Ovis aries: one gene and its partner. The protein of the gene in region 1 purifies or fractionates together with the protein of each later gene. This does not show direct contact. Links are inferred from orthologs where the notes say so. Each region holds a gene or a part of one and is shown in the gene's direction. Other genes may lie near its edges.

Region 1 (15,540 bases):
ATCTAGAATAGTCAAAATAAAATTGATAAAGAACAAAGTTGAAAATAATTTCAAGACTAGTCACAACACTTCAGGAATCAAGATGGTATGATGTTAGTATTAAGAAAGGTAACTAGATCAAAGGTACAGAATAGAGAATGTAGACCAATACACAAAAGTGGATAACCAAAGAAGTCCCTGGCAGTCCACTGGTTAGGATCCCATGCTTTTACTGTAGAGGGCAAGGGTACAATCCCTGGTCAGGGATCTAAGATTCCATAAATCTTCTGGTGTGGTGAAAAAAAAAAAAAGGATAATCAAGTTTTTGATCCAGGAACAAGGACAACTGAATTGAGAAAAGAATGCATTTATTCATATAAAGACTTGTGCTCAGAGCAGTTTTATTTGTAATAGAGAAACACTGGAAACTACCTAAATGGTCATTGACAAGTGAATGGGAAAATTGTGGTACATCCAGACAATGAAATACTAATCAATAAAAAGGAACAAATTATTGATACAAACAACAACATGGATGAATCTCAAAAAAAAAAGAGTATATACTATATGATTCTATTTAAAACTTGAGAAAATGCAAGTTTTAAAGTGACAGCAGATCGGTGTTCACTTAGAGGGTAGGAGGAAGTTTACAAAGGACATGAGGGGAAAACTTGTGGGTGCAAGATAGGCTCATTATCTTGACTGCAGTGATGGTTCCATAGGTGTATGTGTTCATACATGTTAAGTCTCTTCAGTCATGTCAGACTCATGCGTGACCGTATGGACCATAGCCCGCCAGGCTCCTCTGCCCATGGGATTCCCTAGGCAAGAATACTGAAGTGGGTTGCCATACTCTCCTCCAAGGAATCTTCCCAACCAGGGATTGAACCCATGTCTCTTATGTCTCCTGCATCAGCAGGTGGGTTCTTTACCACTAGGGCCACCTGGGAAGCCCTCATAGGTGTATATGTGTATCAAAATTTACCAACTTGTATACTTTAAACCCTCATAGGTGTATATGTGTATCAAAATTTACCAGCTTGTATACTTTAAATACATGGGGTTTATTATAGGTCCCCATTTAACCTCAATAAAGCTGTTTACAATATTAAAGGAGAATGGTGAAAATACTATTGAGTTTCATACAGTTGACTTATTTTGTTATAGTTCTATCAAAAACGAGGAAGAAAAATTTATTCTTTATGTAAGCCACACAAACACCAAAGAAAAACTTTTCCATATCCACAGGCTACCAATTCTATTGCTAGATTGTCACTTTCCCCATCTCCCTCCAAACTTGGCCAGACATTTCATATGTGCTGTCAACATGAATAGCTCGGAAAAATACCTGGTGAAGGCTCTGGGTCAGAATGTGGGTGACTGGGCCATTGCTACTATCTGACACACGCGGAAGTTATACTGAGTATATCTGATCTAGGAGAGCTGTTGGTACCTTTACAATCTTAGCAGAGCTGGAGTCTACTTAGGGGTTTTGATGGATTCTAAGAGTACATCATGAGAAACACTGGGCTGGAAGAAACACATGCTGGAATAAAGATGGCTGGGAGAAATATCAATAACCTCAGATATGCAGATGACACCACCCTTATGGCAGAAAGTCAAGAGGAACTAAAAAGTCTCTTGATGAAAGTGAAAGAGGAGAGTGAAAAGTTGGCTTAAACTCAACATTCAGAAAGTGAAGATCATGGCATCCGGTTCCATCATTTCATGGGAAATAGATGGGAAACAGTAGAAACAGTGTCAGACTATTTTTGGGGGCTCCAAAATCACTGCAGATGGTGACTGCAGCCATGCAATTAAAAGACACTTACTTCTTGGAAGAAAAGTTATGACCAACAGAGATAGCATATTGAAAAGCAGAGACATTACTTTGCCAACAAAGGTCTGCCTAGTCAAGACTATGGTTTTTCCAGTGGTCATGTATGGATACGAGAGTTGGACTGTGAAGAAAGCTGAGCACCTAAGAATTGATGCTTTTGAAGTGTGGTGTTGGAGAAGACTCTTGAGAGTCCCTTGGACTGCAAGGAGATCCAACCAGTCCCTTCTGAAGGAGATCAGCCCTGGGTGTTCTTTGCAAGGAATGATGCTAAAGCCAAAACTCCAATACTTTGACCACCTCATGCAAAGAGTTGACTCATTGGAAAAGACTGATGCTGGGAGGGATTGGGGGCAGGAGGAAGAGAGCACAACAGAAGATGAGATGGCTGGATGGCATCACTGACTCGATGGATGTGAGTTTGAGTGAACTCCGGGAGTTGGTGATGGACAGGGAGGCCTGGTGTGCTGCGATTCATGAGGTAGAAAAAAGTCAGACACGACTGAGCGACTGAACTGAACTACATTGTAATTTTTACATATATACACTTTTAAGTTATCTGTATAAACTATCTTCTTATTTATTAACAGAAGTCATCTTGATGTATGGATTTGATTTATAATGTGCCACTTTCTGCACGCACCACGCGGAAAGACAATAGGATACTTTGGGCTCTTGCTGCCAAACAAGTATTGAAACAATTTGTGTGGGTTGTTAAAAGAAGTACTACAATTAACAGGACAATTTGGCACCATCCATGCCCCCAGGAAACTGGAGTACTGTATTGGAAAGGAGACAACTTAGGCAAACTGCTAAAATTACAGAACATCAACAGCCACCTCTTATGCCAAATCATCTTCAGTCTGAGTCATTCTTGCACACTTCATTTCTCAAATTCTGTCTGTCTCAGAATGGTATACCTTTACCCCCCAGTTAATGTTGTGGGTTTAAAGTACTGAGCTTTCTTTCCTACTGACAAACTGATGGAGAAGTTCATATAATCAAGGAAAACTGTTGTTGTTAAGTCACTCAGTCATGTTCAGCTCTTTTGTGACCCCATGGACTGTAGCCCGCCTGGCTCCTCTGACCATGGGATTTCCCAGGCAAGAATACCGGAGTGGGTTGTCATTTCCTTCAGGGGATCGTCACAACCCAGGGACTGAACCCTAGTCTCCTGCATTGGCAGGCAGATTCTTTATCACTGAGCCACCTGAGAAGCCCCAATCAAGCAAAATATCTGATTTTTATATAAAGATATTTTAAATAAAAATACTAATTGCTCACAAAAAAAAGTAGACTGAGGATCTCTGAACTTAGACCCAAACCCAAAGCCAAGTTTGTTTATCTCCGATAAATCTCTCCTGATGATTCCTCCAGTCCCACCTTTACTGTGTGAGTAGTTACAGAGCTGTGTTGGCAGAAAAACTTTGTGTACGGATGTTCTGGGGGTAAGCAATTCTAGTAACCCTTAAGACTTAAAACTAAGACTGTGGTATATTGGTGAATATTTAATAAGGTAAGAAAGGAAAGCCCTCAGTTGCAGTATCTGAATGAATACTCCCAGTCAGTCAGTTTTAAGCCACCACTGTGATGTGACCAAATGCAATATTTGGAAGGGGTGCCTAGTATTCCCACCATACAAATGTGACAGAGATAAATAACCTCAAGAGCACATACAACAGCAAAATATAATAAAAATAATTAAGCATTTTTTTTTACATTCTAAAAGAACTAATAATTTATTACAAAGCATAAATCAAACTATTGTTGGTATTTCATTATATTCCTAAAGAAATATTTAGTTTTGTACACCAGAATTAAAACAGCACTTATAATTATTTGTGGCTATGAAAAGGCAATCAACTTTCACTTAAAACTGTAATCAGTGATGAAATATACTTCAAGAACATAAACAGTTTTTAGTATCTAATACTGTCACCAGCGAAGCCCACAAACAATTCCCAGGAAATAAAATCTGGGTAGTAAAATAAAATCTAACCTTTCTCTTTTCCTTTGTGCTTAGTCTAGTTTCAGTTGCTCACACAGTGCCCCTCTGCAGAGATTTTACACCAGGCCCTTCAGACCAGAGTTCCTAGTGCAAAAAGGCTGTGCCCCTCACACCTCAGCTCCAGGAACCATATTTTTTTTTTTTTTTCCAGGAACCATATTTAGAAGCGCTGCAAGCAATATTGCAATTCAAGATAGCTATCAGGCCCAGGGGAGGTATGCTGCCCCTCCCCCACATCGCCTTCTGAAAGCCTGAGCTGCAAAAGTTGCGGGAGGTGCTTGCCAAGAACTCGCCCCCTCCCTGCTGACAAGAACCCTATGAAGCAGCCAGGCCAAACGCCTATGAGGAAGACCCAAGTACTCTAGAGCTGGAGCTCACACCTCCTTTTTTTATTTCCTTTGATTCTGAACCAGACTTGATCTCCTACTGGCTCCAAGATACCAGGCAGAAGAACCTTTATTGGGGACTGACTCAGGGGTGTTATAACAATACTTTCATTTTTAAAATATAACTTATTAACTGTAAGTTTATATAACTTACATTTTAAATAATGGAAGTGTTTGAGAACTGGCTAGCCAAATTCTTACCATTTTAACGAGTCTGTACAAGCCCCATTTCAACACATTACTAGCCTGGGGTCATTTTCTTTGCGAGCAAGATACAAGGTAACCTCAAATAACTTCTAATTAAGTGACTCCTACTGAAAGAGAAGTTCCTGGTGACAAGTAAAATTTGATATATTCTTTTTAATACAACAATGAAGAAATAAGAGGACAGGTACAGTTTAAAAGCATACAGTGTTACAGGGCTCCTCCCTTGGCTTAGTGGGTAAAGAATCCACCTGTAATACAGGGGACACAGGAGACCCAGCTGGATCCCTGGGTCAAGAAGATCCCCTGGAGGAGGAAATGGCAACCCACTCCAGTATTCTTGCCTGGAAAATTTCATGAACAGAGGGGCCCGGCAGGCAACAGTCTTCAGGGGTCACAAGGAGTCAGATAAGACTGAGTCACTAAGCACAAACCCACCCGCGGTGTTAGGTGGTGCCCTGGACTGGAGCTCAGTCATGTCTCCAGAGCTAAGAGGTGACTGCATCCTTCAGGTGTTGCTACAACTTCTATTTTTGAAAAAGTCAGACTTAAAGACTTTAATAGCTCTGCTCCCTTAAAGATGTGTGTGCAGGGGTGTGTGTGGGGGGCAGGGGGGGTGGTCTCCAAGAAAAATATTCTATTCCTACAATCTTCTGTGTGCACTCCTACCCGCCTGAGGGCTTAAGTCAGCTGCCGGCAGTGCAGTGCTAAGTCTCTTCAGTTCAGTTCAGTTCAGTTCAGTCTCTCAGTCATGTCCGACTCTCTGCGACCCCATGAATCACAGCACGCCAGGCCTCCCTGTCCATCACCAACTCCCGGAATTCACTCAGACTCATGTCCATTGAGTCAGTGATGCCATCCAGCCATCTCATCCTCTGTCATCCCCTTCTCCTCCTGCCCCCAATCCCTCCCAGCATCAGAGTCTTTTCCAGTGAGTCAACTCTTCGCATGAGGTGGCCAAAGTATTGGAGTTTCAGCTTTAGCATCATTCCTTCCAAAGAAATCCCAGGGTTGATCTCCTTCAGAATGAACTGGTTGGATCTCCCTGCAGTCCAAGGGACTCTCAAGAGTCTTCTCCAACACCACAGTTCAAAAGCATCAATTCTTTGGCGCTCAGCTTTCTTCACAGTTCAACTCTCACATCCATACATGACCACTGGAAAAACCATAGCCTTGACTAGATGGACCTTAGTCGGCAAAGTAATGTCTCTGCTTTTGAACATGCTATCTAGGTTGGTCATAACTTTTCTTCCAAGGAGTAAGCTTCTCTTAATTTCATGGCTGCAGTCACCATCTGCAGTGATTTTGGAGCCCCCAAAAATAAAGTCTGACACTGTTTCTACTGTTTCCCCATCTATTTCCCATGAAGTGATGGGACCAGATGCCATGATCTTCGTTTTCTGAATGTTGAGCTTTAAGCCAACTTTTTCACTCTCCACTTTCACTTTCATCAAGAGGCTTTTTAGTTCTTCACTTTCTGCCATAAGGGTGGTGTCATCTGCATATCTGAGGTTATTGATATTTCTCCCAGCAATCTTGATTCCAGCTTGTGTTTCTTCCAGTCCAGCGTTTCTCATGATGTATTCTGCATATAAGTTAAATAAGCAGGGTGACAATATGCAGCCTTTACGTACTCCTTTTCCTATTTGAAACCAGTCTGTTGTTCCATGTCCACTTCTAACTGTTGCTTCTTGACCTGCATACAGATTTCTCAAGAGGCAGGTCAGGTGGTCTGGTATTCCCATCTCTCTCAGAATTTTCCACAGTTTATTGTGATCCACACAGTCAAAGGCTTTGGCATAGTCAATAAAGCAGAAATAGATGTTTTTCTGGAAATCTCTTGCTTTTTCCATGATCCAGCGGATGTTGGCAACTTGATCTCTGGTTCCTCTTGCCTTTTTTAAAACCAGCTTGAACATCAGGAATTCATGGTTCATGTATTGCTGAAGACTGGCTTGGAGAATTTTGAGCATTACTTTACTAGCATGTGAGATGAGTGCAATTGTGCGGTAGTTTGAGCATTCTTTGGCATTGTCTTTCTTTGAGATTGGAATGAAAACTGACCTTTTCCATTCCTGTGTCCACTGCTGAGTTTTCCAAATGTGCTGGCATATTGAGTGCAGCACTTTCACAGCATCATCTTTCAGGATTTGAAGTAGCTGAACTGGAATGTCATCACCTCCACTACCTTTGTTCGTAGTGATGCTTTCTAAGGCCCACTTGACTTCACATTCAGGATGTCTGGCTCTAGATGAGTGATCACACCATCGTGATTATCTGGGTCATGAAGATCTTTTTTTTACAATTCTGTTGTGTATTCTTGCCACCTCTTCTTAATATCTTCTGCTTCTGTTAGGTCCATGCCATTTCTGTCCTTTATCGAGCCCATCTTTGCATGAAAAGTTCCCTTGGTATCTCTAATTTTCTTGAAGAGATCTCTAGTCTTTCCCAGTCTCTTCAGTCGTGTCCAACTCTTTTGCGCCCCCATGGACTGTAGCCCACCAGGCTCCTCTGCCCATGGGATTCTTTCTCCAGGCAAGAATACTGGAGTGGGTTGCCTTGCCCTCCTTCAGGGGATCTTCCCAATCCAAGGATGGAACCTGCGTCTCACGTTTCCTGCATTGGCGGGCGGGCTCTTTACCACTAGCGCCACCAGCGGCGGGAGGGAGAACTATTAGGAAACAGCCCAGAATTTGGCCCTCTAGCAAGAGATGGGGAAAAGACCAGGGAATCCTCACCAGCAGCGCTTAGGTGCCGGGGCTTGAGGGCTGAGCCATAGCCGCGGACCCGCACATCTGGCGTCCTCGCCCTCCCCAGGCCGCGCGGCCGCTGTTGCCGCTCTCCCCTCGGTCCAGTGGCCTTCACAAGTCTTCACAGTTTCCCCAGAAAAGGTTCAGGCGCGGCAGGACGGCTAAAGGGTTTACCCGACGCGGCGCCTGCCTTCAGGCCCCTCCCTCCCACTGCCCCTCCGAGACACGTGTCCCCTCCCCCCGGCGCGCCAGGCCCCGCCCTCACCTCGCCTCAGTTAAAGAGGAAGAGCAGCGGGTGGGTAGCTGCGTGAGTCAGCTTTTACCTCAGCCGGCGCGAGCCAGCTCCCTCGCTTCTGAGAGCCATGCTGAGGAGCTGCACCGCGGGACTTCGCTCGCTCTGGGCCCTGCGCGGCCGGCGGGAAGGCGCGGCCCGGCTATCGGCGGATCTGCAACCCGCGCGGGTGAGTCCAGGTTAGCCCGGCAGCGAAAATGGGCAGAAAGATAGAACTTCTTCGTCAGGAACTTAGCCTGTGATAAAGGGTATGCTGCTGCTACTGCTGCTAAGTCACTTCAGTCGTGTCCGACTCTGTGCGACCACATAGACAGCAGCCCAGTAGGCTCCTCTCTGCCTGGGATTCTCCAGGCAAGAATACTGGAGTGGGTTGCCATTTCCTTCTCCAATGCAGGAAAGTGAAAAGTGAAAGTGAAGTCGCTCAGTCGTGCCCGACTCTTAGCCACCCCCATGGACTGCAGCCTACCAGGCTCCTCCATCCATGGGATTTTCCAGGCAAGAGTGCTGGAGTGGGGTGCCATTGCCTTCTCCGAATAAGGAGTAATGTTCAGCTGTTTATCCCTTTCCTCAGCCAACTGACCTCAGAATGAAAGCTAACATTAGCTCCAAAGGGTATCAGTATTAACAAGGTCACCGGATCTTTCAGTCTTGAAAGTCAAGCCATAAGAAACGACAGGAGGGTGACACGGTTTTGAGGCAGTGTGCAGGATGCTTGAATCGCGTCAGCAAGTCAAAGTATACCACTACCACTAATAAAGAAGGGTTATGACTTAAGGAAGGTCACGGGCTTAAGAAAACACGTGGTAGAGTTGGAATCTGAACCTAAGCAGTCTGGCAAATAACCATTACCTTATACCCTCAGGAGGATCAGTTTCCTCAGGTTTAATACCTGATACAAGATTTACATGAGATAAGGCTATGTAACAGCGGTGTCTGGTGTTCAGTTCAGTTCAGTTCAGTTCAGTCGCTCAGTCGTATCCGACTCTTTGCAACCCCATGAATCGCAGCACGCCAGGCCTCCCCGTCCATCACCAACCCCCGGAGTTCACTCAGACCCATGTCCATCGAGTCAGTGATGCCATCCAGCCATCTCATCCTCTGTCGTCCCCTTCTCCTCCTGCCCCCAATCCCTCCCAGCATCAGAGTCTTTTCCAATGAGTCACCTCTTCACATGAGGTGGCCAAAGCACTGGAGTTTCAGCTTTAGCATCATTCCTTCCAAAGAAATGTCTGGCGTTAGTATTAAATAAATATTGTTGTTGTTAAGTCTCTAAGTCCTGTGACCCCATGGACTGTAGCCCGCCAGGCTCCTCTGGCCATGGGATTTCCCAGGCAAGAATACCGGAGTGAGTTGCCATTTCCTTCTCCAGATCTTCCTTATCCAGGGATGGACCTGCATCTCCTGCATTGGCTTCTTTACCCCTGAGCCACCAGGGATGCCCTAAATAAATATTGCCTGTTGGAGAACTGTTTCCTCCTCTATGTACCCTTAGTACTTTTCCCATTGTTTTTGTTGTTCAGTCCCTGTGGTATCTGACTCTTTGGGACCCCATGGACTGTAGCACACCAGGCTTCCTTGTCCTTCACAATCTCTCTCGGTTTGCTCAGACTCATGTCCATTGACTTGATGATGCCATCCAACCATCTTGTACTCTGTTGCCCCCTTCTCCTCCTGAATCTTTCCCAGGATCAGGGTCTTTTCCAATGACTTGACTTTTGCATCAGGTGGCCAAAGTATTGCAGCTTCAGCTTCAGCTTCAGCATCAGTCCTTCTAATGACTATTCAGGGTTAATTTCCTTTAGTATTGACTGGTTTAATCTCCTTGCTGACCAAGAGACTCTCAATAAATAAATATTGCCTGTTCTTGTATCCCTATGTTTTGATTCATTGATATATTCAATTAATATTAATCAAGCACTAACAATATGCCAGACATTGGTTTCTAATGCTGTAAAGATGAATAAGAAACAACCCTTTCAGAGAGCTCAAGTCTAATTTGGGAGAAAGAAATGAAAGTGCAAAATTTTTAAATAAATGTACTATGGGAAGTACTAAGGGTCCATAGAGGAGGGAACAACTCTGTTTTGAGCATGAACTAAAAGCTGTTGAACCTTGTTTTTATTTATTTTTTCAACTTAGGCATTTAGGCATTAGTATCATAAGTCATTCCCATGTTACAGTTTGAAAACACCAATACTAAGAGAACAGAGCACTGGATTCAGATAAATTATCTTTTAGTTATTTTTAAGTTATCTTTAAGCACATGAAAACTTTAAAAACAGGTGCAGGTGGAGGAGAGGAGACTCAGCAGGCTTCCTGAAAGGACAAAGACAAGAACAATAACATTTCACTTCAGTATAGCAATCCAAGATTTATCTACTAGAAAAAATAAGATTTTCTTTCTTATCATTTTCCACTCACCAATTAATACAAATATTTGCTGCCTCTCGCCAGCTATATCTAAGGAATATCTAAAAATAATAGTTTATAAGGCTATTGACTTAATTCTAGATAATTAAATTAAATTGTACTGCTTAGATTGCCCTCTCTGAAGGAGATCAGATAGGTGAAAATAATCATTTTAGGCCCTTATAGGACACACACAAATGGATTCCATTCATGATAGTTAAAACCATTTGAACATCTCTGAAAATGTTAAGTTTAAGAATTTTGAAACAATTGCTATACAGTACTTATTATTAAGCAGTCTACTTGAATTGAATAATGAAATAATATTCACCTTGGAAGATTCAAGGTAACTAATAATAATTTACAATAAAATTAGCTTCCCCAATTATTTTAATAGTAAAAATAATAAAGACAAGTAACATATTAAAATATTCAAGTCATAGTAAACAGTGAAAAATTTCAAGATGAAGTTTTTAGCAAAAAGAAAGGAGAGGCTGGTACCTTTTTATTTATTTGTTTGTTTGTTTATTTTGGTTGCACGGGGTCTTTGCTGCTGTGCCCAGGCTTTCTTGGGGCTTTTTCCTAGTTGTAGTGAGCGGGGGCTACGCTTGGTTGCAGAGCTCATGCTTCTCATTGCAGTGGCTTCTTTTGTTGTGAAGCACAGGCTCTAGTGTGTGTAGGCTTCAGTCATTGCAGCACACAGGCTCAGTAGTTGTGGCTCCCAGGCTCTAGCATGGGCTTAGTAGTTGTGACGCACTGGCTTAGTTGCTTAGCAGCATGTGGGATCTTTCTGGACCAGGGATCAAACCCATGTCCCCTGCATTGACAGGCAGATTCTTATCCACTGTACCACCAGGGAAGTCCAAGGGTGATACTTTTAATAGAAATATTAATTAGTATTGTAATAGGATTCTAATTATATTAGCTGTAGGGAATAAGTAATAATTGATGAAATGAGGATGTTTTTATTGATATTTATTTCCTCGATTACTTAAATTTTTCACTAGAAGTCTAAAAACTTGGGGTTGAGTATACAGAAGAGCATTAAGTATGGGCCATTTATAAGAGCAAAGACATCAAAAGAGTATTTTGAAGTTGTAGGCTCATTCCTAGGCTTATGCAGAACATACTTCTCTTTTCAACTTTGGGTTGAAAAATATCTACAAGACTGGTTGGGAGCCTCCAAATAGGGCTATCCAATAGTCATGTTTCCTTCTTCTGGGCCTTTTGCCTTCTGCCAGTTCTTCTCAATTTTCTAGAGACAGGAAATGATACTTCATTCCATTTATCACAATCTTAAGGCATTCAGGATTATCTTGAATAAGTGGTTCCGTTTGTACTGTTTTACTTAAATTCTTTGTTATAAGTGGAAACCTGACTTTGACAAGAAAAAGTGAAAGTCACTCAGTTGTGTCCTACTCTTTGCAACCCCATGGACTGTACAGTCCATGGAATTCTCCAGGCCAGAATACTAGAGTGGGTAGCCTATCCCTTCCCCAGCAGATCTTCCCGACCCAGGAATAGAACTGGGGTCTCCTGCATTGCAGGCGGATTCTTTACCAGCTGAGCTACCAGGGAAGCCCATAACAAGGATGTCAGCCATAAATGGCTGGCGATTAGGTTCACCGTATTTTAACCACCAGACTGTGTGCTGTGTGCTTAGTCACTCAGTTGTGTCCGACTCTTTGCGACCCCATGGACTGTAACAGGCCAGGCTCCTCTGTCCATGGAATTCTCCAGGCAAGAATACTGGAGTGAGTTGCCATGCCCTTCTCCAAGGGGTCTTTCCAACCCAGGGATCCAACCTAGGCCTCCAGCATTGCAGGTGGATTCTTTACTGTTTGAGCCATCAGGGAAGCCTGATCCTCTGCTCTCACAGTCAGAGTGTCCTGGGTGAGGAGATGTGTAACTCGCTTGGCATCAAGTTGCAGACATTCATCAGTTTTAAACAGTTCAACAAAATGCTGATGAATAAAGTCATCTGCTGTTGCTTTCAATTCGGGACAGTCTAGACACTCTGCTAGTACACTTAAACTGAGACAGTTTGAAGCATCAGCTTGTTCTTTCAAAAAATCAACACACAAACCTCCCTGGGGTCCAGTGGTTAAGAATCTGCCTGCCAATGAAGGGGACATGGGTTTGACCCCTACTCAGGGATGATTCCACATGCCGTGGGGTAACTGAGCCCATGCTCTGGAGTCCACAAGCTACAAGTTCTGAACCCACATGCCACAACTATTGAAGCCCAAGCACCCTGGATCCCATGCTCCGCAACAAGAGAAGCCATCTAAATGAGAAGCCCTGCTTACCTCAGCTAAAGAGTAGCCCCCACTAGCTGCAACTAGAGAAAGCCCACATGTAGCAACAAAGACCCAGCACAGCCAAAAAAAGAAATCAAATTTTCTTCACAGGTTCAATCTGGTACTAGTTTGCTGCATCTAACAAAGACTGAACATTGTTGCTATTCACAGAAATTCTCATGGTATAAGCAAATTCCACAAGTTATTTGATAACCTCAGGTGCAGCATCTTTGAGTTCTGTTTCAAAGGTCTTTGATTCAAGCATGTGAGTTGTGAGCATTAAGTTTTAAAAAATTAACTGGCTGCACCAAGGACAACATCATGAGGTATCTTTCTTTCCTGGACCATAAGAATCACATCACACAATGTTTTCTTTGTATTTATGTAGCTTGTCAACAAGGTTCTGCAGTCAGTTTCTCCCAGCATGATTTCAAGATGACCCTGGGTATAAATTCCCGGGTAGACTGTAGATTCAACTATAGTTGAGTAGTGAATTTAGATCACTGTTTCTGAATGTTATTCATGATACCCATGAAGCCAGCCAGTTTGGCAAATTTCTTCTCACCGGGGACTCTGTTTAACAAATACTGAGGCTGAGAGAGAGCCGCTGCAATGCCCTGCTCCCCAATGGGCAAGCAGACCACTGTAGTAGAACAAGGCCCAACCACCCCCTCAAGCTCTCCAGAGGCAACAACATGGGCTTTACGGCATTTCCCTTAGAACCAGAGCCCAGCCAACTTACTTTTAAAGAATAAAGAGTGCAGATCCATTATTAATCCTGTGTCATCACTAACTCAGTGGACATGAACTTGAGCAAACTCCAGGAGATAGTGGAGGACAGAGGAGCCTGGCATGTTGCAGTCCATGTGGTCATAGAGTCAGACATGACTTAGTGACTGAACCACACCACCATCTTATACGTTGGAAAAGAAAAATGTCCTGTGCTAATCTCACAACAAAGATAGATTCATTTCTTTAATTATATGTTGGTGTCTGGTAGTCTATGTTGAGAATATGTAACAATATTTACGGGCTTTGTAACAGTAGTATTTACAGGCTTTACAAATCATGCCTCTTTTGGTTCAGTAACTTAATCTTAAAAGGAGATACATTAATAAGTTGTAACTTATGCCCCGCTTGAAACACACATAATCAAACATCTAGCAAGACCTTTCCCCTATTCAGGGCAACAAAAAGTAGTGATTATCCCTCATGCACAGAGTCTGTGCTGTGAATTTATAGGTGCCTTTACTTCCAAGTATCACTTAGTTCTCATCTCCTAGAACTGAAACTTTCATTATTTTTATTTCTCACAATATCATAGTGTTCATCTGTGGTCCCAAACTCAACATTCCCCAAACTAAAATTAATGGTTCTGCTCCTACTTTCCACCTCCTGACATTCACACAAACATTAACAAAAACCTCCTCTTTCCTTTCCTCTGTCCACTCCAGTCTTCAAACCACAAGTCAGGAATTATCCAAAACTCTTCTACTTGCTCTTCCCCCATGATCAGTCAGTCTCTACAACCCTTGGTCCCAATATCCTAGATATCTCTTAAATCTTTTTCATTCCTTTCTAGTTCAGTTTCTGACCATATTTCCCCTGGATCTCTACAACAGTCTTTTAACTGGTTTCCTTACCATTGCTTCTCACCTTACAATTTATCCTTTACATCAGAGGGAGCTTTCTAAAACCTCAGTTCATGTTACTGCTTTGCTTAAAACACCCCAAGGCACTCCATAATGGAAAAAAAAGTACTTTGCCACTCAGTTGGCATGTATTTTTCATGAATCTTTAAAGACTCCTTTCCTTTAAACAGCTTCATCCTAGGCAATAACACGAAATCAAAGTGTGATGCACTATTTATGTCCTTTTATAATATTCATTTAAAAATACACGTGTTATTGTTGTTCTGCCACCTAAAATTGTCTTTCCTATTGACCTTTTGAAACATTAACCTAGAAGATGAAATCTAAGCTTTCGTTAAAGCCAAAGAGCCACTATAGTGTCACCCCTCTTTTGTTTTGCCATCCCCATCTTGCTACTGTTCTCTTTGTACCTTTTAGCCATAAAGGCTGAAATCCTAGCAGTTGCGCGTATTTCTCTGCCTTTGCTTGGAGCAGCCTGCCTGTTGTTTCTTTAGTGAACTTTTCATCCTTTAGAAAACATCTATATCAGTTCTCATCTTTTTGAAGTTTTCCCTAAAAGTCACTTCTTCTGTGTCTGTATCTACTTCTGTTGTAGCATTTTTCACACTCAAGGCTACAAGCACTCGAGGACTGGGTCTAAGTCTTCTCTCTTTGTTACCTGTACCTGGCCCAGAACCAGATCATATAGTAGGGCTCAAAAAAGTTTGTTGCAGGACTTTCCTGTCAGTCCAGTGGCTAAGATTCCACACTTCCACTGCAGGGGACATAGATTCCATCCCTGGTTGGGGAACTAAGATTCCACATACCATACAGTGTGGCCCTAAAAGGGAAAAACAAAAAAAGTTTGTTACATTTAGCTGAATCCCCTCAGACTTCAAAGTTAAAATCAGACAGGAGAAACTCCTAAACTCATTCTATGAGGCCGCCATCACTCTGATACCAAAATCAGACAAAGATGCTACCAAAAGAGAAAATTACAAGCCAATATCGTTGATGAACTTTGATGCAAAAATTTTAAACAGAATTGAACAACACATTTAAAAGATCATACATCATGGTCAAGTGGGCTTTATTCCAGGGGTGCAAGGATTCTTCAGTATATACAAATCAATGTGATACATCATATTCACAGAGTAAAAGATAAAAACCATATGATCATCTCAACAGATGATGAGAAAGCTTTTGATAAAATTTAACACTCATTTATCATAAAAAAAGTATTCTCCAGAAAGTAGGCATGGAAGGAAAATATTCAACATAATAAAGGCCATATATGACAAACCCAGAGTAAACATTATTCTCAACAGTGAAACCTGAAAACATTTCCTCTAAAATCAGGAACCAGACAAGGGTGCCCACTCTTACTACTATTATTCAGCATAGTTTGGGAAGTCCTGGCTGCTTCTCAATCAGAGAAGAAAAAGAAATAAAAGAAATCCAGGTTAGAAAAAACAGAAGTAAAACTCTTATTATTTGCAGATGAAATGAGACTATACATAGAAAGGCATAAGGATGCCACCAGAAAATTACTAGAGCTAACCAATGAATATAGTAATATCGCAGGATATAAAATTAACACGCAGAAGAACTCCCTTGCATTCCTATACACTAACAATGAAAAATCAGAAAGATAAATTAAGGAAACAATCCTATTCACCATTGCAACTAAAAGAATAAAATATCTAGGAAAATCTACCTAAAGAGATAAAAGATCAGTATGCAG
Region 2 (15,540 bases), on another chromosome or scaffold:
CTTCTCGCCCGAGTGAGTGCGCTCGTGCCTCTTCAGCGTGTACGTGCAAGAGAAGGTCTTCCTGCAGAGCGGGCACGTGGGTGCCACCCCGTCGGGCGAGAGCCGCGTGCGGCCGCCGTCCCGCTCGCGGAAGTGGGCGCTGAGGTGTGGCTGTAGCACGTGGGCGCCCGGGAACAGCTTGCCGCACAGCGGGCAGAGGCAGAGGCGCCCGGTCGGCCGCAGGGCGGCCTCCAGCTCCCCCCGCTCCGCCTCGGGCCCCGGCGCCCCCCTGCCCACCCCGCGGACCGGCAGCGGCCCCAAGCCCCCGGCCAGGGGCTCCGCCGCGGGAACACCGGGGGGCCGCAGGGGGCTGTGGGCGCTCCGAGGGCTGCTGCTTCCGTCCTCCCGCTCGGACTCTGAGTCTGGCTCCTCCTTCACCACCGGCTGGGCCCCGGGCTGCTTCTGGCGGCAGGGGGCGGTCTGGAGGGCGCAGGGTGGGCGGACGGGCGGCCGCCTCGGGCCGGGCTTCAGCGACAGGTCCAGGGCCCCGTCTGACTCTCCAGACGCCTGCCAGGGGGGAGGTCCTGGTGCGGGCGGGGGGCAGGTGGCCTTTGGTCCAGCGGGAGGGAGCCTGGCCTTCAGAGAGGCTGGACAGGGCGCGGGGGCCCAGGCAGACAGAGGGCCCGGGGGCCGGCCCGGGGGCCCTGCCCCAGGGGCGGGCGTCTCCGGGGGCAGCGCGCGCTCCCTCTCGCGGAGCCGGCCCTTGCAGACCCTGACGATGTCGCACATGCGCAGGTAGCTGGCGGCGGCCAGGACGTCCTCGACGGGCAGGCTGCGCAGGTCCAGGCGGCCCTCGTACATGAAGTCCAGCAGACGGCCGAAGGCAGGCGCCGTGACGATGTCGCCGTTGAGCCGCACCGTGTCGCGGCTGCCCGCGGGCCGGTCCCTGTAGAAGAGATGGAAGTAGACGCTGCACGCGGCCAGCACGGCGCGGTGGGCCGGGAAGCGCGCGTCGCCCACCAGCACGGTGCAGTCGCACAGGAAGCCCAGCTCACGCTGCTGCCTCAGGCGGCCCAGCAGCCGCCCGCCGTGCTCCGGGAACTCCATGCCGCCGCGGTCATCACCTGGGCACAAACGGGACGCCCGTGAGCGCGCCTGGAGACGCCGCGGCCGCCGCTCGCCCCCCAGCCGCCCGACCAGCCCTTCCCGAGTGCGGGCAGCGCGGGGAGAGGGGCGCGGGGCGCCGCGCGCGGCTGCCCGCCCGGAGCCTCCCTGGGCACCTGCCCCGAGCAGGAAAAACTCGATCGAAAGTAAACAGGAGCTGCTCCGCCGCGGGGGCGGGTCCCGGGGCGCCAGCGGAGGGGGCCGGAGCCGCGCGAACCTGCGCGCGTCTCCACCCGGGGCGCCCCTCCCCGCGCGGGCGCCCCTGAACTTCACTCTGGGGCGGCAGCCGGCCGCGTCCCCCGACGCCCGAGTCGCCGCGCCGCCGCCGCCGCCCCTGGTCCGCGCCTCCGCGCCGCCTCCAGCTGCCGCTCGGCCCGCCAGATGCCGCCGCCGCCGCCGCGGGGCCCCATTTAAGGCAGCGCGACCGCGGGGAGCGGGCCGGCGGGCGGGGCGGGCAATGCGGGGCGCCCGCCCCTCGCGCTCACCTCCACCGCCCCGAGCTCCTCTCCGGCCGCGGCCCGCGCCGCGCGCCCTCCCCGGTGCCGCCCCTGCGCGTGCGGAGCTGCGGGCAGCGCGCCCCGGCGGGGAGGGCGCGGGGACGGGGAGGGCGCCGGGCGGGGCGCGCTCCAACTTGGCTGGCCCGGCAGCACTCGCCGCTTGCCCCGCCCCGGAGAGAGCGAAACTCGGGGCGGGGGCTGGAGGGGGCGGGCCGAGGCGACTTCCCGGAGCGGCGGAACCGCTGAGGTCACCCACGCCGCCCCTTCTCCGTCCGCCCCGCCCGGCCCGGCCCCGCGCGCCGCCATCTGGGGCGCTGGGGTGGGAGGGGACGCGGGACGCGGCGGGGGAGGGGGCTCTCTCGCGATACTTGCCGCTTCATCCTCGGGGTCCCCCCCATGGGGTCCCAACTGCGCCCGTCTGTTAAGAGACTCCTTCCGAGGACCAGCTCCTCTCCCAGCCAGCGCCGGCGCCAGGCTCCCGAAGGCGCAGCCGGGTCGCGCCGCCACCTCGCGGGGTGCCCGCCCTGGGATGGAGGAGGGGGCGGGGGTAGTCGTACATATTGAGAAGATGACACCCCCTTTCCTTGAAAGCCTCGTATTGAATTTAATTTAGCTGGGCCCCTTTTCCAGACGCTTGGGCGGGTTCTCAGCCTTGGTATTCCAAAACTGGGCACTCTCATCCTCTCAGCACACCCAGCGAGGCCTCTGATGGGAGCCAGGTGCACGGAGCTGTGAGCCTTGGGGACCGTGGCGGTCCCAGAAGGCGTCATGGGGTGAGGGGACCATCGCGGTGATGGAGAGAGAGGGAAATGCGCCGAAAGCCCAGAGCCGGGCCGCGGGCTGCGAAGGGGGAGGAGGGAGTCCTCAGGGAGAGGTGACGCCCCCGAAGGGGCTGAGCTGGCCTTTCAGGAGCAAGGCCACGCGAAGGTGTGAGGGACACCTAGGTCCTGGGTTAAGGAAGAAGCCTGAGAAAAGCAGAGAGCAATGAGCTTGGAGAGGCTGGGACCCCCAGGGCGGGAGGTGACTGTTGGCTGGCAGTCTTTTCCCAGCTGCCTTTACAGAGCAGGGTGGAGGCGCTGTGGACCGCTGCTCAGCTGTCCCAGCAGCCCTGCTGGTTTAGTGAGGTGCTCTGATTATCACACTGGTTTTGGTTCGGAAGGCGCCAGGGCCACACAGCAGGCAGTCAGTTGTTGAACCAGGATCCAAGTCTGGCAGCGTCTCCTGCGTTCTCACCTGTACAGCCCAGAACCCCGGGAGACAGAGGGTGGGCAGGCCTTGACTAGAAGTGGGGGTGGTGTTTTGGGGTGCTTCATTACAAAGGCAGGACCCCAGCCAGCCGGGTATACAATGGCAAAGAGGCAGCAAGACGGGGTGGGGAGCCCATGCTCTTGGGAGGCAAGGACCCCTGGGGGGAGTTCCTGGCTGTGAGATGGGGTGTGGGGGTGGGGCTCCAGGGGTCCTATTTAAACTCTGGTGGGCAGAGGCCCTGGGGCCCACCACAGTTAGGATTTCAAGTCTGAGCGAAGGAAAGACACATTCTTATACTAAAATCCATTACTTGTTTATCTGAAATTCAGATTTCACCGGGCAGCTTGCATTTTTATTTCCTAAATTCAGCAGTCTTTGGCTTGGTACCCTGGACCTGCACTGTGCTCACAGCCAGCGAGAATGCCCTGGCTCCCAGAGCCCGGGCACCCTGGGGGCCCTTTCCTGAGGAGGCCAGCCCCTTCCTTCACTTCCACGCCCCGCCCCCACCCCAGCTTGGGCAGCTGATTTCAAGTCAGGTCAGAGTGAACCCAGAGGGGACTGCCTCTCGGAGTCTTGCTCACAGCCCTGCCTCTACCCCCTTCCAACCTTGGGCATGACTCTTAACCTCTCCATACCTTAATATTCTCATCTGCAAAAGGGGGAGATTAACTGGAGGGCCCAGCACACGGCAAGACCCTGGGGCCTTTCGTGAGTCCTCAGGTTCCACACACGTCTCCCCAGTCCTGTCTCTGCTCCAGCAGCAGCCCCTGGGAGTGGGTCTTCTTGATCACTCCCACTCAGGTGTCCCCAAGCCCACGATCTCCTCTTGGGGCCTCCGCCTTCTCCAAGGAGCTCCCGTGTCATGTGGCCTTGCCACCCCGTGCTCTCCACTGGATCTTTGCTGCTGAGACTTGGCATGGCACAGGCAGGGGGTGTAGTCGTGTCTCTTGACTGAAAGCAGGGCAGAGGGGTCTGTCCAATGCCCACGGTGCCCCCATCCTGATCCTGACTGCTCTGACGTGCCCACCTGCCCAGTCCGGGCACACAGCTCCCCAGCCAGGCCGGGAGAGAAGGCCCTGGGGTGGGCAGAGTGTCCTGGCCTGCCCTGCCTGGCTGGTGGGACAAAGGGCTCCTTGGGGCCCAGACAGAGGTCTTGGGCACGAAGGGGGTCCACGCGGCAGCAGGGGATGTGGCCAGCGAGAGGCTGGGGGTGTGCTGGGTAGGGGTGGCTAAGGGAGGAGGGACATCGCTCAGGGGAGGGGACAGGGAGAGAGGCCCCTGTGTTTTCCTGGTCCGAAGGTCTCCAGTCTTCCTGGAGTTACATCCTCCTTCGGGCCCGGGAGGGGCCACCCCAGGCCACCTGAGAGGGCACCCGGCAGCCAGCAGGCCTGGCCTGTGGGTCCCCGCTGTGGCTGGCGAGGCCTGAGGCACAGGGATGGCAGGAGGCTGTCGCAACGGTGGGGGCCGAACGTCGCTGGACATGGCCAGCCAGGCAGCCATCTGGCCTGGGAGCTGCCTCAAGGCCCCGCCCTGCAGCTGCTGCAGAGACCAGGCAGCCCGGGCCTCGGGCCCCCGAGTCCTGCCCGAGGGCCGGCAGCTGCAGAAGGTGACCGGGCCGCAAGGACCCTGAGCTCTAGGACGGGCAGGTGGCCACCCTCCCCGGAGGCTGGTGCAGCAGTTTTTGTGGCCAACATCTGCCTCGGGGGCTCCTGAGCGGCCCCAGCCTCAGCCAGGGCAGCGACATTCGGCTTGGGGGGCAGCGGGCAGGAGGTGTTCTAGAGGAGAGGGGCTCTGCTCACCCTCCGGAGGCCAGAGGAGGGCGCTGGGCCTGCCCGCAGAGGCTCCAGCCGCAGGGCCGGCTCCCAGCTATGCTGCAGGGCAGGGCTGTGGGGCTCACCGCCAGGACACGGGCCAGGCCGAGGAGGCCTGACCACCACAGAGACACTCCTGGCCAAGACGCTGTCTGTCTTCCGATGGCGAGGACGGCTGCAAGTCACCACAGGGCCCAGGAGGGGGCGCCCTCTCGGGCCCCCAGGGGTTCCCTGCCTTCTCCTTGGCATTGCCAGCCCAGGATGGGGCGCCGGTGCGGAGGAAAGCCCTCCTGGGAGAATGGTGGGCGGGGGTGGGGGAGATGGTCCTAGACGGGGCCCAAGGGGAGGGTTGGGGGGAGCGAGTGCTTGTCAGGCACCCAGCAGCCCAGACCGGTCAGGCCTCCCCCCTGGTCCCTGCAGACGAGGGCCTGGGGGTGGAGGTGCAGCGCTGGGGCAGCTCGCTGGGGCGGGAGGGTGGGGGTGGCGAGGGCAGAGGCCTAGAGGTTTTCATCCTCTCCTGGAGGAGCAAGTGTCCCTGGTCCTTCTCTTTCAGCCCCGAGAGGGAGGGACAGCTGCGGACGCTGTCCTGGGCGCTCAGCGGCTTCCACCTCTGACCCAGATGAAGTGTCTATACCCCACCCCTCCCAACCAGGCTAAAACTCTGACTCTGGAGGAAGAACAAAAATGTCCTCCTCCCCCCAAATACACACCAATGCCAGGAAGGGAGCCCCCAAGTCTTCCTTTCGTGAAGGGATCGCCGTCAACTTGGAGGCCTGGGGGTGGGGGGAGGGGCAGCTGTTGGAAAAGGTTGTGCACAGCAGGGCCCAGGGAGGGGTGGGGTGGCGGCTTGTCTGCAGTGCCATGCTGGCCCCTTCACTGGCCCCCAGCGCCCTACAAGTGCCCAGGGCCCCTGGGGACATCAGGGAGGACCCTGGTCTGCCTCAAGCCGTCACAGCCCTTTTCTGGAGACTGCCCTCCTGCACCCCCTCTGGGTGTCTGTACTGACTCAGGGGGGCCCTCCAGGCCAGGTGTGCTGAATGGCGACCCCCTCCCCCGCCCCCACCCCCACCCCGGGCCCTGGGCCCTCTTTCTTCTTGGTCCCCACGTGAGGTCCCTGTTCGCTTTTGTAGCTGCCAGATGTCTGCGTGTTCCTTCTGGGGAGGGGAGCTTCTGGAAGACCCCCACCAGGAATGAGGGCCCAGCCCAGGGCCAGACCCAAGCAAGCCTTCAGCCCACAGACAGATGGCTGCCCACCGGCCAGCCGCCTGCATGCACCCCCCCCCCCCCCCACCCAAGGGGCCTGCGCTAGGCAAAGGGCCTTGGACTGGGTCTGTTAGGCCCACCGTGGCCCCTCGAGCCACCAGCTCCCCAGCTTGGGGCATATTCTAAAAGTCAGACTAACCCACACTCCAGCCCTGCTCCCGCCGGAGGGAGTCAGAAGCAGGCGGCTCAGCCCACGCCGGCCCTGTTAACAGGGTCGAGGCCGGACTGGTCCGAGAAGTGCGGGCTGGCCGGACAAAACTGGGAAACCGAGGCCAGGGAGGCCGCGGCCCGGAGGCAGGCCCCGGGGAGGGGCGGGAGCGGCCGGGCTCCGCCGGCGGCCCGGCCCGGCCCCAGGGACTCCCGCCGCGCGCTCCCGCTCCCCGTGGAGGGGACGCCCCGGGCGGCGGAGGCGGATGTGGGCGGGCGGCCGGGCGGGGCGGGCGCGGGGCGGGGAGAGGGCGGGCCGGCGGGGCCGAGCGCGGCGGGCGGGCGGCCGGCCCAGCGCAGCCGCGCAGCCAGCGCATCCCGAGGAGCGAGCCGGCGGCCGCGCACGAGCTCCGGGCCCGGCGGCGCGCGAGGCCCGCCCGAGCAGCGCCCGCCGCGGCCTCCAGCCCGGCCCCGGCCGGCCGGTCCGCGGGGATGCGGAGCAGCGGGCGCCGGAGGCCGCGGCCCGGCTAGGCCCGCGCTCTCGCCGGACGCGGCGCCCGGTGAGTCCCCGCCCGCCCGCCGCCCGCCGCCGGGGCCCGGATTTCCTCCCCGCGGCCGGGCCGCTTTGTTCGCGGCCGCCCGGGCCGGGGCGCGGGCCGCGCGCGGCCGGAATGGAGGCGCGGGAGCAGGAAGTGGCCGAGAGAGGCCTGGGCGGGGAAGGCGCGGGCCGGGCGGGCGGCGGGGCGGCGGGCCTCCGGCCCCAGCCTCCCGCATGACCTTGGGGAAGCGGCTCCGGCGGGCGAGGCCCGGGCCGGGGCGGAGGGGTGCGGCCGCTCGCCGGGGTCCGTGGCCGGGGGTCCGTGGCGGCCGAGGGCTCCCCGGGCGCCCGGCCAGCGGGGTCCCGGCGCACACTAGGTGCTCGGGGGCCCGGGGAAAAGACTCGACCCGGCTCTCGTTCAAGTTTGTGGGTGGGCCCTTGGAAGGGACTTCATTTTCCCATGGACAAAAAGTTGTCCGTGGTGGCTGGGTGCCTAGGCCCTCCCACAAAGGACTACAGCCTTCCTGGGCCCTGAGACTGGTTCTGGAGCTGGGTGGGTTCGCGAGTGCTGCCCACCCATCCCCGAGGCTGGGGCTCCTGCCCCCGGTTGGGGGGATCCCGGGGCAGCTGGTGAACTTGGTGGGTGGGATTGGGTCCTGGCAGTGCTGGTGGACAGAGCTGGGGTTGTGGGCTTGTGCTCTGGGGCCAGAGATGCCCCCCCGGCGGTCACCCCTGGCCCCCTCCCACCTTGCTCAGGCCACTCCTAGCTGCCCTGGGCCTCTGTTTCAAATGAAGAGTGGGGTGCACTGGTGGGGCTTGGTCCCCTGCCCCCTAGCTGAACATCTAGTGTATAAACTGGTGTTTTGGAGGCCGAGGGAGGGGGCCTTTCGGAGCAGAGATTATTATTTTTTGGAAGGTCGTGACTTGAACAGTCATAGCAGTAACTCACCTTCGTGGTGAAGGCACTCCCAGGACGGAAGCGCAGAAGCAGAGGTCCCCTCGAGCCGCCCGTCCCGAGGGGAGGCAGCCCCGGCCCCGGCGGTGTGCACCTTTCTGCGCACAGGCACACCGCCCTGTGTGTGCGCGCAGACAGATTTTTACACGCGGGGCTCTCCACAGCTGTTTGGCCCTGTCAGCAGCAGACCCATTCAGCCCCGTGGGGGGGGGGGGGCCCACCCGTGCAGAGGTCTTTGAGTCCAGCCCTCTGCCTCCAGGCCACGCCCACTCGAGTGTCACCAGAGCCCCCTGTGCGAGCCAGGCTGGCTCTGAGTCCAGGCCCTGGTGGTCCCTCCTCCAGTCTTCCTTGCCACGCCTGCCTGTGGGCCCGCTGACGGGGGTCAGACACAAAGCAGAGCGTGGGTCCTCCTGCCCTTCTAGGTTTAGCCCAGGATGGACAGTGCACAGTGGCTTTCTCCAGGAGCCCAGGAAGGTGGGCTGTGGGAGATGCGTGCAGGGAGTGTGTGTAGGAAGAGTGTATATGTAGGTATATACCATGTTGGAGATACTTAGGGGTGTCTGCCCAGCTTGAGGGTCCCAGAGAGGAGTCTTTCCAGGCCTACCCTCCTGAGTGCCCAACTGGAAGGGTAGCGGAGGACTGCTTGTGGGGAGAATGCTGTTTCCCAGGATGCTCAGAACCAGTGATGTGGGCAGTGGGTTTTGAGGGGTGCCTAGGAGTTCATCCAACAGGGGAGCAGAGGGGTGGGCCACACAGGATCAATGGCCAAAGGGTCTGCTCACGAGGAGGCTGCTGGTGGGCCTCCGAAGGGCTGGTGCCGGGCCTCCGTGTTTGCACAGTCCCCCCATCCCTGGTTTGTTGCCTGCTGAATGCTGTAATTATGGGTCTGTAACCACCCTGGACTGGGTGCTCCTCGCAGACAGGACTCGTCTGAACCTCTCTTTGTCCCCAGTGCCCAGTGCTGAGCCTGGCAAAACCAGAGATGCCTGGTCCATGTTGGCCGAATGAATGAACTGGTTCAGGCCGGCGGGGCACTGAGGTTTAGGGGGGGGCCTGGGGTTTCTCTGGGGTGGGTTTGTGAGGGGTCGTGTGTTGCCCTGGAGGGCTCCAGTTCGTCTGCAGCAGCCGCCTGCCTGCCTGGCCCTGCCTTCATGCTGGAACTCCTCTGCTTCCCAGTCTGGGACGGAGAGGAGGAGGCCTGGGTCCTTCTCGGGAACGCCCACCTTGGGGCAGGAGCACCATGGACGGGGAGACCTGGGTACCCTCGCCAGGGGACTGCGGAGGCCAGGAGGTGTGGGCCGAAGCAGTCAGGGGGACTGCCTGGAAGAGAGGGCTTCTGCTGGGTTGGCAGGTTAGGGCGGCTGGGATATACCATGCGGGGCCTTTTGGGGACAGGGGTCATTTGTACAGAGGTCGGGGGAGGTGGGAATGGTCAGAGACGGGGACAGTGAGCTCTGAGGGCTTTGGGGTCCGGGAGGGGTGGTGGCGGGGGGGCTTACAGCCTGGGGGCAGGGCAGGCCTGGCCCTGGGAGCCGTGTGAGTGACTTGGGATCTGGAGCCGGGGTGGGAAGGCCATGTGTGGGGAGGCGGCAGCTCTGAAGGCTAAGGGGGACAGGCCACGTGGGAAGATGCGCCTGAGCTGAGACCCTGGGCGCCACGGGCCTCTTCGGTTCCCCTGAGGAGTGTTCCCCGGGCCCAGCACAGCCTCATACCTCCCTTTGCTTCCTACAGAGGCTGTCGGCGGCCCGCTGGGTGCGGGGTGGACCCCGCCGAGAGGCGCGAGAGTGAGGTCTGGGCCGCGTTGGCCCGCGGGAGCCACAGCAGCATGGACGACGTGGCCGTCGTGAAGGAGGGCTGGCTGCACAAGCGAGGTCAGTGCCCGCAGGCCGGCCCGGCTCAGGGCCCCGAGTTGGGCCCGTGGCTCCTCAGGGGCTGGAGGCGGTGTGGGCTGTGGCTGCTGGACCAGCAGGGCCTCCCTGAACCCTGGGAGCAGCCCAGGGGCACGTCCGGGGCCCGACATCCCTGCGGCCTGGGGGACACAAGCCCCCGCGGGGCCTCCTGGCTGGGAACGTGCACCCCAGGCCGGTGTGCAGCCCGTGGAGCTGCCGCCTGGCCCAGGCTGCGGGCGGGGAGAACCACCCGCTTTCCTGGAAGGCAGCAAGGACTGGGGCCTGTCCAAAGCCTGGCGCGCTGGCGGCCCAGGGCACTGCCCGAGGGCTCCTGAGGGCAGGGCAGGGCTGGCGGGCCTGGCCCGGGGCCAGTCCCGGCTGGGCTGTGGGCAGGAGGGGGCTCCGCACTGCCCGGGGCCTGGCGTGCCGCAGGCTCACGCTGGTGCTGCCAGGCCCTGGCCCCTGCCCGGCCTGCCCCCTGCTCGCCCATGTGCCCAGGGAGGGGCTCTCGGGGAGCTGGTGGGATGGGAGCTTGTCCCGGGCCCCTCGCCTTGCGGCCCTGCTGCCTCGCTGCCTCCTGTCCCATAGAGGCCGGACAGGCCCGGGGGGCAGGACAGGTCTGGGGTCGAGGTGTCCGAGGCGTTCAGGCAGGGCGTGCTCTCCTGCTCCAGGTCGGGGGCTGGTTAGTCACCACCTGCTCCCCCAACTTCCCCTTCCTGCAGACCGGCTCCAGCTCTGGCCGCCCCACACCAGCTAGCCGCTAGCCCCCACTCCTCATGCATGCCCTCCAGGGACGGTGTCCCCTCTCCACCTCAGGACCCCGCAGGACACTGGGAGGGGACCTCAGGCACAGGTGGGCAGTTGGGGAGCTGCAGCGAGAGCGGGTGTTCTGGGACGCTCAGGAGCCGCCCAGCGGAGCAGGCTGGGAAGCTCGGGAGAGGTGGAGATGAGACCCCAGGCGCAGCAGGGGCGCGAAGCAGGGGTCACGGATGTGGTCAGTGTGAGCTTTCAGAGCTCGCTCCAGCAGCGGTCAGGGGCACAGTGCTTGGCCTCTAGACGGAGGTGGGGCAGCTGCAGGGGCCTGTGGTCCGTGGCCGGCCCCCCAGGGCTTCCTGCAGCGGCTGGCCCTCTGGGTCCCCTCCCCCAGCATTGACCCTTTCCTGGTCTCCCCGCCCCCCCATCCCTGCCAGGTCCCGCCCTGTCTCCTCACCCCGTCGCCCTCTTTGGGGTCAGGCCTGAGCCTGCCTGGGTCTCTGCCGTCCCCTCTGCGCCTCGCGGAAGCGCAGGCACACACTGGGGTCCAGGGCCTCTGAGCCCTTGACAAGCGTTGGTCGACTGGCTGACCAGGGACTGACCTGGGAGATGCCTGGGGCTTGGGGCTGCCGGGGCCCCCAGCCCAGCTCCTGGGGTGTCCACTGGCCAGCCCGGTTTGGGTGGAAGCGCCCCTCTGACGCCTGGGTGAGTCTGAGTGGGCCACTCGGGGTGTGTGCCTTCTGGAGGGGCGGGGGCATCCAGGCAGCGCCCCATCGCCATGCCCTTCTCCACGGGCAAGTGTGTTGCGTCCTCAGGCCTTTGTGTCCCCGTCTGTGCGGTGGGAGCAGTCGGGGGCGGGCCCCCGGACCCTGGGCGGAGCGCAGCGAGCCTCAGGCCTGACAGAGGTCCTGCGTCTGCCCTGCCTCTGGCTCTCATGCCCGCTGGGTGGTGTGCGGCGTGGCAGAGGTCCTGCGTCTGCCCTGCCTCTGGCTCTCATGCCCGCTGGGTGGTGTGCGGCGTGGCGGGGCACGCTGGCCCCTGTGGCCCAGGAGGGGCCGTGCCGCGCGCAGGGGATGCCCGCGCGCAGGGGGTGCCCGGGTCCTCACCCACGGCCCCCCCGGGGACCCTGGTGTCACTACCAGCTTGTTCGCTAATCTGTGCGTCTTCCACAAATCTGTTCTTCCCCGAAGTGTGGGCTCTTCCTGTGTGCTGCGCTTTGAGGTGAAAGGGCAAAAGGGGCAGAGGTCACAGCCGGGATCGGGGGATCCAGAGTGACCCCGATTCGGGGCTGGAGGGCTGTGGTGGTGCCATTTCTTGGGCTGCGGGGGGGACTTGTGTTTCCGTCCTGGGGGTCCGCAGGTGGGTGGCTGTGTGCGCCCAGCCCCTCAAAGTGGGCGGGAGGGGTCGGTGTGAGCCGCTCCTGTGTGCCCCCCCACTGCCCTGCGCCCACCTCTCAGGACTGGCTGGAGGAGGACGTCAAGGCCCCCCGTGTGGTGGCTCTGGGTGGAGTGGGGGCCCGGGCCGGGAGTGGGCAGGGGGCTCCACCTTCCCCTCCCCACCCCCACTGCCAGGGATCTGATTCTGAGTTGGAGGGGGGGTTCTGACTGTCCTCCAGCTCCTCACGGACCCCCGAGTGCCCCCACGGTGCCTCTTGTTATGGAGGTCAGGGGGCTGCTGTGGGCCCGTGGGCAAAGGGCAAAGGCACTTTAGGAGCCAGCAGGTGTCGGCCTGAGAGCTGAAGGGCAGGCAGCGAGGGTCTGTGTAGGACAGATCCCCGGGCCCGGCTCCTGCCCCCGTCCTTCAGGGGCTGCACCGCCGACTTGTGTGCTCTGGCTCGGAGCAGCCGACCGGGCAGGGGAGAACCTGCCTGGCAGCCAGGGTCCGCCCCACCCTGCGGCACCCAGGTGCGGCCTCCAGGCCTCCGGGTCCCCAGGCGTCCCGGGGAGCCTGCGGCCAAGCTGCTAGAGGCTCGGAAGGACAAAGGTTGGGCCAAGTGGGGCTGCAGGGACCGTGGGCAGAGCTCCTGCGAGACAGCTGCATGTCCTGAGTACGAGTGGATGTCCCAGAGGCCGGCGGCCTCCCTGAGCAACGCGGGATGCCACGAGTGGTGGGCAGACACGCCCCGCCGTGGGAGGCCGCCCCGCGTGGCAGGCGTCTGCCTCTCAGCTCCAGCCGAGGCGCTGGGGAACTGGGCTCAGGGAGGCTCACGGAGGCCGCTTTGCAAAGATTTGGCCTTTTATGTGTGCTCTCTGACTTTTGAAGGTGGACAGCTTGAAAAACCAGCCCTCCTCCAGGAGGCAGGGCTGCTTGGACTTGGCCTGCAGTCCAGCAGGAGCCCCCACGCCGCGGCCTGGCAGGCAGGGGCCGAGAGGCGGGCAGAGAGCCGGCCTGGGGGCACGGGGTTCACTGCCTGGGAGCCTTCCTGGGTCTGGCCCCCACTCCCCCAGTGAGGTCCACCTGGCGAGGCCCTGTGTTCCTCGGGCTCGGGGCAGGGGGCAGGGGGCAGGGGGCAGGGTCTGGTCCTGGTCCTGGGGGCGCCTCAGGCCTGCCTCTGTCCCGACCCTAGCCAGTGGCTGGCCCAGACCTTTCCCTGGTCCAGGCTCTTGTCAGCTCACTGAGCTGCTCCCAGGCCTCCTGGTGGGGAGTGGGCTTCTGGGCCGTGCTGGCCCCTCCCCTGCCTCCGCCTCAGTCCTGGCCGGTTCCTGCTTCTGGCCGCCACCCTGGGCTTCACCTGCTCCCTGCACTGGTCCCGGGAGATGGTCGTCCCACCTGCTGTCAGCCTCCCACCCACCGCAGGCCTGACTCCCCCCCCACAGGGTGGGGCCGTGCGGGTGAGCCTGGCTCTCTTCGAGGAGGCCGCGGTTCTGCTGGCCAGAACACGGGGCTCGTGGGACCCGCAGGGGAGGGGGCTGCCCCCCTGTGCTGTGCGCCCCGGGCCCGGCTGAGCTGAGACCCCGGGCTCCAGTGTCTGGCCCGGCGAGGCGCGCCCAGCTTCCCTCCGCATCTCGCCACGGGGGCCATCTCGCCACGGGGTCCGTGGCTTTGGCCCTGGTGGTCCCCTTGGGCCGCACGGAGCAGACAGCCAACCCCAAGGGTGGGAGCTGGTGCCTGGGGGCGGGCTGTTCGGGGGGGGGGCACCTCCAGCCCGCGGGTGGTGGCGACCTGGGGCCCGTGGCGTGTGGCTGAGGCTGAGGCCCGCGGGCCGGTGTGGGGCCGAGTTTCCTGTTTTGTGAGCAGGCTGAATTTTCCCTTCAAAACAAACAACAAAAGAGGAAGCTTGGGCGTCCTTGCGCTGGGGGTGAGGGGTCATCCCCGCCCCCGCCCCGGGTCCCCAGACTCAGACGCTGCCCCTGTCTGCTTCCTGGCCCCATGCTGGCGGGCGGGGAGGGCCCTGGCCCCTGGGAGCTCAGCAAGCGCCCCTACAGGGGCGGGGAGGGCGTCCCACCCGCCGTGGTCCTCTGGGGCAGCCTGGGCCGGGTCGCGTCAGGCCAGTTCCTAGAAGTGCAGTGGGGGTGCGGGCATCCCCCCTGGCCAGGCTCGTGGCCCGCAGCTGCCCCGGGGGCCTCGCGTGACTGCTCCCACGGGGTGGGTGCCCTTGGCGTCTGCCCGTGCACCCCCGTTCAGGTCCCTGGCCCAGACCTGGCCCCCTCTGGCCGCTTGGCAGAGGGCCCCGGCTCCGGCCTGTGTGCGCCCCACGCAGCATGCTCCCCCTGCTTTCTCGTCTGCGTCACGCGGCTCCCTAACCGTCAGAAATAACGCACTCCTGTCTCAGGAATGTTGGAATTGATGGGGGTGCTGGTTACGTGTGCTGTTGCTCCTGCCAACCTTGGGGCTGAGGGCCCTGGGGCGCTGGGTGTGTGCCCAGGACCAAGCCCCCTGAGCCTGGGGCTTTGCCTGCGGGGCCTGCCTGCCCCTGGGCCTCAGCGGGATCCACAGGGTCAGGGGCCCCCTACCAGGCTGACCTCGAGGAGCCCTTTGGCCGAGAGGATGTGCTGCTCCGCCCCGGGCTGGGGTGCAGGATGCCTGGCGAACCTGAATGGGGGGCTCTGAGGAACTTGGAGGGGATGGAGCCAGGGTGGGTGTGGCTGGGAGTGCGAGGAGGCAGGGCCGGGCGTGGGGAGGATGCAGCCTGCTGGTCACAGGGTGGGACGCCGGGAGAGGGGGCCGCTGTGACGGGCTCCACATTGGGGAGTGGGCAGCTGGGCAGCGGGGGGCCCCGACAGTCCCAAGGTCCCTGACCCCTCTGCCATGCGGGTGGTGTTCTGTCCTGGGGGGATGTTGGTGCTCGGAGCCCCTTGGCCGCGGGGAGGCTGGGCTTGCTTGGATGCCCACTCTGAGCGTCTGGGCTGGCGGGCGGGGGGCGTGGGCACAGGGCAGGCCCCGCTGCCCCCACCGGCCCCCTGGGAGCCGGTGCCACCCGTCTGCTCACTCCCCTGCCTGTGCGCATCTCCTCTGCCCTGCCCCGCGGGGCCTGGCACCTTCCTGGGTTTGGTTGGGTCCGTCCTGGGCTCTTGGCACAGGGCTGAGAGGTATGTCCCTAGGGGAATGTTGTGGCAACCCAGCACGTGCGTGCATGTGACCTTGGGCAGCCCTGCCCGAGGGCCAGGGCCTGTGACCCAGAGGCCAGCAGCGGAGGGAGGAAGCCTTGGACTTACAGGCCTGTGGGCTGCCCATCCACCTCCTGTCCCGAAAGCGCGGGCCCCCAGACGCCCCTGCGGCAGCGAGGCTGGGCGCCCACGCAGGCCCAGGGCGGCAGATGAGGCCCGGCAGGCAGCCGCAGGGAGAACGCGTTGGGTCCGTGGTGGCGCCTGGGCAGTGGGGATGCGGCCGTTCAGCAGGCGAGGTTTCTGAGTGAAGGGTGATTGAGTGAGGGGCATCCAGCCGCTGGGGGCAGGGAGACAAGAGGCGGGGCGGTGTGTTGGGCAGGAGGCCCCGTGTCCTGGGGACAGGACCCGGGACGGAGCCAGGGGGGCAGCTCCGAGGCGGTGAGGGGGCGCCCTGGGGCCCAGTGCCAGCCGGATGTGCGCGGGGTCAGGGCAGCCGCTTTCTCTAGCCGGTGCAGCGGATGGCGTGTGGCGCCCAGGGCGGAGGCGGGGTTTTCAGAGAGGGTGGCCAGGCCGGTGGGCGTCCAGGCCAGGCGGGCGTGCAGGCAGGGCAGTGGTGGGTCGTGATTGGCCAGAGGCCCGGTGCTGCCCTGGGGCAGTGGGAAGCGGGAGGGCAGCCCCTGGGGCCTTCTGCTCTGCCTCGGTGGGAGTTCCAGCGTGCCCCGAGTGCACCCCTGCCTGCCACCCCGCCT

Evidence for each region.
Region 2: the proteins of THEM4 (region 1) and AKT1 purify together in Homo sapiens (co-immunoprecipitation; 4 studies listed by BioGRID and IntAct, with this or other methods). This does not show direct contact. The link is inferred for Ovis aries from reciprocal best matches to the Homo sapiens genes THEM4 and AKT1.

The regions. Positions count from the first base shown.
Region 1 is NC_056054.1:101,866,512-101,882,051, reverse strand, and holds the start of THEM4 (acyl-coenzyme A thioesterase THEM4), read left to right. Parts: upstream 1-7,469; 5' UTR 7,470-7,526; coding exon 7,527-7,625; intron 7,626-15,540. UniProt on the Homo sapiens protein: Has acyl-CoA thioesterase activity towards medium and long-chain (C14 to C18) fatty acyl-CoA substrates, and probably plays a role in mitochondrial fatty acid metabolism. Plays a role in the apoptotic process, possibly via its regulation of AKT1 activity.
Region 2 is NC_056071.1:66,972,150-66,987,689, reverse strand, and holds the start of AKT1 (RAC-alpha serine/threonine-protein kinase), read left to right. Parts: upstream 1-6,440; 5' UTR 6,441-6,669; intron 6,670-9,333; 5' UTR 9,334-9,427; coding exon 9,428-9,473; intron 9,474-15,540. Other genes in the region: ZBTB42 (zinc finger and BTB domain-containing protein 42), read right to left, coding at 1-1,086. UniProt on the Homo sapiens protein: AKT1 is one of 3 closely related serine/threonine-protein kinases (AKT1, AKT2 and AKT3) called the AKT kinase, and which regulate many processes including metabolism, proliferation, cell survival, growth and angiogenesis.